Drosophila melanogaster: one gene and its partner. Changing the gene in region 1 together with any one later gene gives a genetic interaction. Each region holds a gene or a part of one and is shown in the gene's direction. Other genes may lie near its edges.

Region 1 (4,009 bases):
CCTCACCCAGGTGGTAACCTGCATCACCCACCTAGAGCGGACCATCAGCATGGAGGCACCGCATATGACCAGGCAGCACTTCCTCGACCGCTTGGACTGGTGCTTGCGGCGACTGCTCGTCTCCTTGACGCAACTGGAAGGCAACGTGACCCCAGTCAAGAACCTAGAGGATCACTCCTTCGTTGAGCTCATGGACCTGGCTCTGGACCACTTGGATGACTACATGGAGAAGCTGGCCCAGCAGAGAAACAACTCGCTGCACATTCTAGAAGAGAGCTTCACGGAAGACACCTACCAGCTGGCCAGCATAGTTAATCACATCGTTCGCCACGCCCTGGCCTTTGCCAATGTGGCCATTCATTCGGACAAGAAGGCTTTGACGGCTTTGTGCGAGACCTTGCTCGCCGAATGTGCCACTTTCCACGAGGAGGCGGGCGAGCCCAACAGTGGTCATCGGAAGCTGGAGGCCCTCTCCCTGGAACGTGCCCTCTATGCCCTGGAATCCTTTCTCAATGAGGCGCTGCTGCACTTGCTGTTCGTCAGTCTGATAGATCTGGAAAACGCTTCGGTGGAGAAGCTAAAGGATGCACTGCAAAGGGATCCTGCGGGAGCTCAGGAGCTAATCTCCGCATTCGACACGAACATGGATCGCATTCAGCAGATTGGGGTTCTGGCCATAGCCTTCTCGCAGGACATCAAAACGAAGACGATTGTCAGGAGCTGCCTGGCCTCACTGGAATCCCTGGATGCGTGCATTGTGCCCGCTCTCCAGCTGCCAGAGTCCACTTCATCCGCACACCACGCGGAGGTCTTGCAGGAGCATTTTAACCAGGAGCTGCTGATCTTTAGGAACGTCATCCACGAAATCATCGATAGCTGCTCCCTGATCAACAACTACCTGGACATGCTGGGCGAGAGGATCCACGTACAGGACAAAAGCCATCTGAAGCTGATTGTCCAGAGGGGCGGAGTGGTGGTGGATCACTTTCGGCTGCCCGTCAATTACTCGGGACTCAGTGAAGATGGCAAGCGGGTGCACAAGGACCTCATTCTGATCCTGCGCGAGTGCCAGGCCGTGGTCAACCTGGACGTCCCAGTGGATCCCAAGCGCATCGTGAAGCGCCTTAAGATACTGTACTCCGTGCTGGCCAAGCTGAGGGACTTGATATGCAGGGATAATCTGGAGCCCGATTCCTCAGTTGCTTCCGAAGCTCAAGTGCCCTCAAGTGCAACCCGAACTTTTGTGCGGAGCAGTCGATCCTTTGGCAAACGGCATCGATCCTTTGTAAAACAAACCGGAAATTGCTCAGTTTTCGGGCCACAGGACTCACTTGCTGAATCCGGACACAGCGAAAGCGATCTTATTAGTTTCCAAATCACTGAGATTCTTAGGTTAGATTGAGTGGGGCGAGCCATATTCTAAATACGCGGGCTTATCTGTATGAGATTTTTTTTAATACTTCATTGGCTTGAAGTGCTTAATTAAGATTAAACATATCCTTACAAAGATTCTAATTAGCTACCTAAGTCAATTGTGTTCTTTACACTTATGTAATTACTTCATTAAGTTGAAGCCATTCGCATAATTTATATAAAATACAATTAAAACATACCATTATAAAAAAATTATATAATTCAATTCAATTTTTTCAGGGAATCAATAAATTAAATGCTACTCGTTTTCATAACTAAAGAAACCAACACCACCATAATAATCAACAACAAATTATGTATTTATGCAAATTGAATATCCGTTTGCAATATTGAGCAAACACATATTTTTATTATTCAACTCATATATTTCAGTTTTCACACCCTGTTCCATTCCCACCGTTCCGTTCCTGGCATCAATCGGCATCGTTCGCCAGCCCTGGTGGGCATTATGCCATGGTTGCATTTCACGCATTTTAGTATAGCTTCCGATATTCATCATTTTGCCAACTCTATTAAATTTCATACACAATTTAAAAGATTGTAAACAAACGCCGCACGAAACGGAATCGCTAAAAGGACCATCGTCGGCGCAATGGATACTTGCTTCTTCTGCGGCGCCGTCGATCTGAGCGACACGGGCTCCTCCAGCTCCATGCGCTACGAGACGCTGTCGGCCAAGGTGCCGTCGTCGCAGAAAACAGTGTCCCTGGTGCTCACCCACCTGGCCAACTGCATCCAGACGCAGCTGGACCTGAAGCCCGGCGCCCGGCTGTGCCCGCGCTGCTTTCAGGAGCTCTCCGACTACGACACGATCATGGTGAACCTGATGACCACCCAGAAGAGGCTGACGACCCAGCTAAAGGGCGCTCTAAAGTCCGAGTTCGAGGTGCCGGAGTCCGGCGAGGACATACTCGTGGAGGAGGTGGAGATACCCCAAAGCGATGTCGAGACAGACGCCGATGCCGAGGCGGACGCCCTGTTCGTGGAGCTGGTCAAGGATCAGGAGGAGTCCGACACGGAGATAAAGAGAGAGTTCGTGGACGAGGAGGAGGAGGAGGACGACGACGACGACGACGAGTTCATCTGCGAGGACGTGGATGTGGGCGACTCCGAGGCCCTGTATGGCAAGTCCTCCGATGGCGAGGACAGGCCGACGAAGAAGCGCGTCAAGCAGGAGTGCACTACCTGCGGCAAGGTGTACAACTCCTGGTATCAACTGCAGAAGCACATCAGCGAGGAGCACTCCAAGCAGCCCAACCACATCTGCCCCATCTGCGGGGTGATCCGGCGCGACGAGGAGTACTTGGAGCTGCACATGAATCTGCACGAGGGCAAGACGGAAAAGCAATGCCGCTACTGCCCCAAGAGCTTCTCGCGCCCGGTGAACACCCTGCGCCACATGCGCATGCACTGGGACAAGAAGAAGTACCAGTGCGAGAAGTGCGGCCTGAGGTTCTCCCAGGACAACCTACTCTACAACCACCGGCTGCGCCACGAGGCTGAGGAGAACCCCATCATATGCAGCATCTGCAATGTGTCGTTCAAGTCGCGCAAGACCTTCAACCATCACACGCTCATTCACAAGGAGAACCGCCCAAGACACTACTGCTCCGTCTGCCCCAAGTCCTTCACCGAGCGCTACACCCTCAAGATGCACATGAAGACCCACGAGGGCGACGTCGTTTACGGGGTTCGCGAGGAGGCGCCCGCCGACGAGCAGCAGGTGGTGGAGGAGCTGCATGTGGACGTCGACGAATCGGAGGCGGCCGTCACCGTCATCATGTCCGACAACGATGAGAACAGCGGCTTCTGTCTCATTTGCAATACCAACTTCGAGAACAAGAAGGAGCTCGAACACCACTTGCAATTTGATCACGACGTGGTCTTGAAATAAGCTACATTGCCTACAATAAGTAATTGTTTATCTTTCCCTAGTGTATTTCCTCCTCTTTGTACTTGATTATTGTAGATTCCTACAAAATATAATTTACTGGTATTTCAATTACTGCGTTTCATTTAGACAGAAGCATTTCCGATAATAATTGTACACTGTTCTGTAAAAATAATTGCGAATATATATATGATTTCATATAAACAACCTCTTTCAATACTAAGGGGGAAAAATGTAAAATATATAACAAAATTCCCTGATAAGGATTGATGCTGTCTAGTTTTGGCACGTCAAGGAATTTATATTGGTCTAATATCTCGAGGCAGTTGCTATCAGAAAGAAAGACCGCAATGGTCTGGATTAACTGATATCCATCCAGATAATGCACATGTTATCAATGGTGCTGCTATCCCAATCTCAGAAATGACAATTGAACTCGGCACTCGCACATCATTTTTTAACTAAAAGTCCGGTATATTAACGTTTACAAATGTGTATTCCGACCACGTTACAAGAACTCTCAAGAATCTTAAGCTTACTCGTTCTCTTGAGAACGCAGGCGACCGTTGGGGTTGGTGAGGCGGACCGACAGCTGCTTGGCGCGCTCGACAATCTCCTTGCGCTTCTTGGAGGAGACGCCGTGGGCGATCTCGCCGCAGTAAACGCGGTTCTGCATGAGCAGGA
Region 2 (6,368 bases), about 23 Mb from region 1:
CAGTTAACTATCAACGGACCGCATAGGGCGCTTCTATTCCGTCCCTTTCTCGCTGCCCACTGACGGCTCTCCTTGTCCTCAGCTGCATCCCGGCAGCGTCATTATGACCATTGCGGCGATGCCTCTTGGATGCAGGTTCAGGTCCTGGTCCAGGTCCTGGCAGGTCCGGCTGCTTCATGCAACGCTCGACTTGGCCCGACCGAACTGGACACACACCGAAACCGAACGAAAGAGACGGCTAGACGGCGTGCGACAGAGAGGGCTGCCGCTCGCATTCAGGCGCAAGCGGATCCAAAACAGAAAATGTCAAATTTTGTAATTTATTACCCGAATCCTGTTTCTGTCAGTGACTCTTTGGGTGTTTCGCTTCAGCAGCGGCACACACGGGGGCATTCAGCATTCAGGGTCGCCGAGCGGGGAAGGGAGAAGTCCTTTGTCACACACTGCGTCTGAATTTGTGGCCCAGTTCCGCACAGTGGTATCTAGCAGATACTTTTTGTAATATTTGTAAGAATGCACAGAACTTCGTTACATTCAGAGATTTCTAGTTTCTAGTCAGATGACTAAATACAATATTATGTGTCAAAGTAATTAATTTTGTTTTTGAATAAATTTCTAAAATATCAGCTTGCCTTTAACGTAAATATAGCCTTTTCTACCTATCTTTATCTGATATAAAAAAGTAGCATTTGAAATGCTGTTGTTGCAATGGTATCGAATTGGTATTAAAGCTCTGGCCCTGTTTAATTTGTATTTGTAGTCAGAGCAACCACTGTACCTTTGTGTGTATCCTTGGGCTTTGCCTATGCGAACGTATTTTGTTTGCCTTTTGGCTGCACTCCGACTCCGTCGACTGGAGTGTCTGTGAATTGACTTTTGTTGCCAGTTGGCAGCGGCAGAAGCAGCAAAGCCCGGCCAACAGCAACAAGCTCCTGCCAGATCCCAAAAGCAAACACGACAATTATTTGGCAAATGTCATTAAAAAATATTTCACTTAAGGCCTTGCGACACTTGCTTAAAGGTCAACTGGCTCGTTGGGTGTGTTTTAAAATGTTAAAGCTTGGGCCAATGCACTGAGCAACTTAATGCTTGTAGATATTTACACAATATTCTTCAACGCTAAACATATCGAATTTTCCAAATATGGAGCCTGAAAATAATAATTGCCAATCCTAGCTTAACATCAGAAATGAGTAGAACAACTTAAAAAAAATTAACAAAAGAATCGAACGCTACAGCTAATTAACTCGACAACTGGTTACCTTTTATTCTTCTAATACATTTTATAATGCACTGCCTAACAGGTACATATAGCAAGCACTATATGCTGTCTTACAAAACGATTATATGATATTTTCTTTCGTACGTAGCCGTTTGAGATCATTTGGAAAAACAAACTCGATCTCCACCATCCTTATTCTTTGTCCCAAGTCCTTATATATCTCGCGATACTAAGATTGAATAATGTAGTTATTAATAGCGGAAGTATGTAACAGAATAAACTACAAAGTGCACATTTTGTTCAATTCAGGCTGGACTGGACTGGAGCATATTAATATTATAATATTAACAAAAATTCAAATTAAACATTCGACACTTGTCTAATTGATTCCTAAATTTGGGGTGCCTGTTTGTTAATTAAATGTTAATATTATGAAGTTCCAAACAGAGCAAAGAGTTTAAGTTTAATTGGTTCTACTTATTTGTTACAATATTCAAGCTTTTTTTTATTATTATTCTCAAATGCAAATCTCTACAAATAAATAAACCTCCGACGTTTTAGAACATTCACCTTTTGTCAGTGAGCACAACCTTTCAATACAGCCCGACAGGGGGCTCTCTACTGCTGTCTCTTCACGCCCCCTGGTGAAAACGCTGTGCACTCAATCGGTTTGCAGCTTTGCCGTACTGTTCGATTAAAAACTTTTAAATTAGAGGCAAACATTTAAAAATAAAATGTCCAAATATTTGTCTAAAATGTATTGTAGACGCTTATTGATTTTTAAATTACTCAAAAGAATGAACATCGAGGGAGGGCCGCCAATTGTGCCATCTCTACATCTCTTCGCTCATCCCTAAATAACGGCACTCTGCAGATGCGAAGCAGTGGATCGCAAAAACGCAAAATGTGGGCGAAATAAGTTCGCGAGCGTCTCGAAAGTAACCGGTTACTGAAAATACAAGAAAGTTTCCACACTCCTTTGCCATTTTTCCGCGCGGCGCTTGGAAATTCGTAAAGATAACGCGGCGGAGTGTTTGGGGAAAATGGCGCAACCGCCGCCAGATCAAAACTTTTACCATCATCCGCTGCCCCACACGCACACACATCCGCATCCGCACTCCCATCCGCATCCGCACTCGCATCCGCACCCACATCACCAACATCCGCAGCTTCAGTTGCCGCCACAATTCCGAAATCCCTTCGATTTGGTGAGTTCCCATCGCAGCAGAGAAGGGCTCTTGTCCCAGGAAAGCTACAGTACAGATTCCCTATGGTGAACAAACAACCAGTGCGATCACTGATGACCATAAACATTTATTGAGCCGCAGCAAATGTGTTTCTAGAACATAGGGCGAAATCTTCTATTATCTTGTTTGTGACTTTTAAAGTATCGTAGCAGAATCTAAAAACCAATTGATATTATTAATCGTTACAGTTAGTATAGTATATAATTGTATATGAATTGTGGGGCATCATGTTATTAGTGATTTGCCGAAATGTTCTAAAAGGTGTTTCATTGAAATGGACGAATGTTAAACCTGTTGCACTCACACCGACAATCAGTAATGTCTATTTTTCAAAAGCCACATCTATGGCCACTGGGTATACATTATTGACTTTATACACTTCATACAACATATTTTCTAAAACAAGCATTGTTGTCCTGCATGATGATTAGTGAAAGTAATATTGCAAGATTCGGTCCCCGAAGCGAATCGTCCTTTCACGTTTTTATATAAAGACAGTGTACCCCTTGATTCTTTGAAGCTTTTCGATGAGCGAACGGGAGCGATAAACTACAACTACATACGTCCGTATCTGCCCAACCAGATGCCCAAGCCAGGTGAGCTCAAAGCCAACAAAGTCAGCCATCGTCTTATCAGATGTCTTTCCCTCAGAGGAGCTGCCCGACTCTCTGGTGATGCGGCGACCACGTCGCACCCGCACCACTTTTACCAGCTCTCAAATAGCAGAGCTGGAGCAGCACTTTCTGCAGGGACGATACCTCACAGCCCCCCGACTTGCGGATCTGTCAGCGAAACTAGCCCTGGGCACAGCCCAGGTGAAGATATGGTTTAAGAACCGTCGGCGTCGTCACAAGATCCAATCGGATCAGCACAAGGACCAGTCCTACGAGGGGATGCCTCTCTCGCCGGGTATGAAACAGAGCGATGGCGATCCCCCCAGCTTGCAGACTCTTAGCTTGGGTGGAGGAGCCACGCCCAACGCTTTGACTCCGTCACCCACGCCCTCAACGCCCACTGCACACATGACGGAGCACTACAGCGAGTCATTCAACGCCTACTACAACTACAATGGAGGCCACAATCACGCCCAGGCCAATCGTCACATGCACATGCAGTATCCTTCCGGAGGGGGGCCAGGACCTGGGTCGACCAATGTCAATGGCGGCCAGTTCTTCCAGCAGCAGCAGGTCCATAATCACCAGCAGCAACTGCACCACCAGGGCAACCACGTGCCGCACCAGATGCAGCAGCAGCAACAGCAGGCTCAGCAGCAGCAATACCATCACTTTGACTTCCAGCAAAAGCAAGCCAGCGCCTGTCGCGTCCTGGTCAAGGACGAACCGGAGGCCGACTACAACTTCAACAGCTCGTACTACATGCGATCGGGAATGTCTGGCGCCACTGCATCGGCATCCGCTGTGGCCCGAGGCGCTGCCTCGCCGGGCTCCGAGGTCTACGAGCCATTAACACCCAAGAATGACGAAAGTCCGAGTCTGTGTGGCATCGGCATCGGCGGACCTTGCGCCATCGCCGTTGGCGAGACGGAGGCGGCCGACGACATGGACGACGGAACGAGCAAGAAGACGACGCTACAGGTCAGGCATGAGTCCACAACCTTTTTTGATCTCTTGATTCTGAGTGTGGCGTTTATAAATTGAAGCTTTAAGCTTTGTAACTTTCAAACTGTCTGGTTTGAGATGTTATTCTGAAAGTACTTCTATTTCCGATCGATGAGATTTGGGAGTTCTCCAATATTTAACATTTAACTTATTAAGTTTTTGTTTTCTAAATTAGACATGGCATTTCTGAAAGGGAAGTACAAGTGTTAAAGATGTATTTTAATATAGAATTTGTATCAAAGGTTAAGATTTCAACCGTTTGAAAGCCCTTAGTTTTCAGGGTTTTTTACTTTTTTATTCATGTAATCACTCTTAATACACTGCAAGTTAAAATAGCATTTCTTTGACCAGAAAAATAAGATCTATGCATTTTAAAAGTGAAAACAGACTCATATGCTGATGAACATTTTTAGCTATAAATTGTAACAATAATTTAGCAATTTCAATCGAATTTATTTATGTTCTAAATGCGTTCGCTCTCTCCCTAGATCTTGGAGCCTTTGAAGGGTCTGGACAAGAGCTGCGACGATGGCAGTAGCGACGACATGAGCACCGGAATAAGAGCCTTAGCAGGAACCGGAAATCGTGGAGCGGCATTTGCCAAATTTGGCAAGCCTTCGCCCCCACAAGGCCCTCAGCCGCCCCTCGGAATGGGGGGCGTGGCCATGGGCGAATCGAACCAATATCAATGCACGATGGATACGATAATGCAAGCGTATAATCCCCATCGGAACGCCGCGGGCAACTCGCAGTTTGCCTACTGCTTCAATTAGCCTGGATGAGAGGCGTGTTAGAGAGTTTCATTAGCTTTAGGTTAACCACTGTTGTTCCTGATTGTACAAATACCAAGTGATTGTAGATATCTACGCGTAGAAAGTTAGGTCTAGTCCTAAGATCCGTGTAAATGGTTCCCAGGGAAGTTTTATGTACTAGCCTAGTCAGCAGGCCGCACGGATTCCAGTGCATATCTTAGTGATACTCCAGTTAACTCTATACTTTCCCTGCAATACGCTATTCGCCTTAGATGTATCTGGGTGGCTGCTCCACTAAAGCCCGGGAATATGCAACCAGTTACATTTGAGGCCATTTGGGCTTAAGCGTATTCCATGGAAAGTTATCGTCCCACATTTCGGAAATTATATTCCGAGCCAGCAAGAAAATCTTCTCTGTTACAATTTGACATAGCTAAAAACTGTACTAATCAAAATGAAAAATGTTTCTCTTGGGCGTAATCTCATACAATGATTACCCTTAAAGATCGAACATTTAAACAATAATATTTGATATGATATTTTCAATTTCTATGCTATGCCAAAGTGTCTGACATAATCAAACATTTGCGCATTCTTTGACCAAGAATAGTCAGCAAATTGTATTTTCAATCAATGCAGACCATTTGTTTCAGATTCGGAGATTTTTTGCTGCCAAACGGAATAACTATCATAGCTCACATTCTATTTACATCACTAAGAAGAGCATTGCAATCTGTTAGGCCTCAAGTTTAATTTTAAAATGCTGCACCTTTGATGTTGTCTCTTTAAGCTTTGTATTTTTAATTACGAAAATATATAAGAACTACTCTACTCGGGTAAATTGTGACTAACTACACATAACTACATACTTAGCCCATATTTCCGTCCCTTTCTAGAATGAACGAAAACAGTATCTGGTTTTCCCGAAAATCTTATGAATTTAAAAATGCACTTTATTGCACATACTCACACATGCCTGCCATAAAATATGATTCGCGATTTTTCCGCGAACACCCGCGGATCATAAAACATTTGCACCAGCTGCCTGTGTTTATTCACCTACCTGAAACCCATACTCTTATCGCCTGATCCTCGCGCGGTCGCACTATTTAGGTAGACACTGTACAGGCAGCACTCGCGGGGCGCCGCCAGGCAACTTGTTGCCCCTATTTTCTTTGATATAAGTTTTGGGAAATCCAGAAGTCCAATAACGGGGCCTATATGAACGAATATTGATTGGGTTTCTCCCAGTTATAGAGTTTTTATTGATCTTGGGCGCGTTTTAGTAGGTGGATTATGGATGTCCTGGGAAAACCAAGCTCTGAATCCATTCTTACTTATCACAAGACTTGTTTTCCTGTGCCCTTCATCACACCTAGTTTAACTACTATAATTAATAAACTACTTTTTAATCCGCCATTTATGAAGATAATTTATAGCATCTATGCATCTTTCAAATATCGCGAGATATCGCAAAGTATTCATAAATTAGTTTTTTATTGATATTGTAAAGCTTTTTAATTTGGTT

The links.
Region 2: of Sry-delta (region 1) and bcd, changing one suppresses a phenotype caused by changing the other (phenotypic suppression), as found in Drosophila melanogaster (one study listed by BioGRID).

The regions. Positions count from the first base shown.
Region 1 is NT_033777.3:30,041,453-30,045,461, forward strand, and holds Sry-delta (serendipity delta), read left to right. Parts: upstream 1-1,888; 5' UTR 1,889-2,026; coding exon 2,027-3,328; 3' UTR 3,329-3,434; downstream 3,435-4,009. Other genes in the region: Sry-alpha (serendipity alpha), read left to right, coding at 1-1,402; RpL32 (ribosomal protein L32), read right to left, coding at 3,861-4,009. UniProt on the Drosophila melanogaster protein: Transcriptional activator that controls bicoid gene expression during oogenesis. Found in transcriptionally active cells. Binds to specific sites on polytene chromosomes of third instar larvae. Binds to the consensus DNA sequence 5'-YTAGAGATGGRAA-3'.
Region 2 is NT_033777.3:6,755,169-6,761,536, reverse strand, and holds bcd (bicoid), read left to right. Parts: upstream 1-2,070; 5' UTR 2,071-2,265; coding exon 2,266-2,430; intron 2,431-2,967; exon of another isoform or gene 2,968-2,989; coding exon 2,990-3,065; intron 3,066-3,105; coding exon 3,106-4,064; intron 4,065-4,576; coding exon 4,577-4,861; 3' UTR 4,862-5,695; downstream 5,696-6,368. UniProt on the Drosophila melanogaster protein: Segment polarity transcription factor that provides positional cues for the development of head and thoracic segments.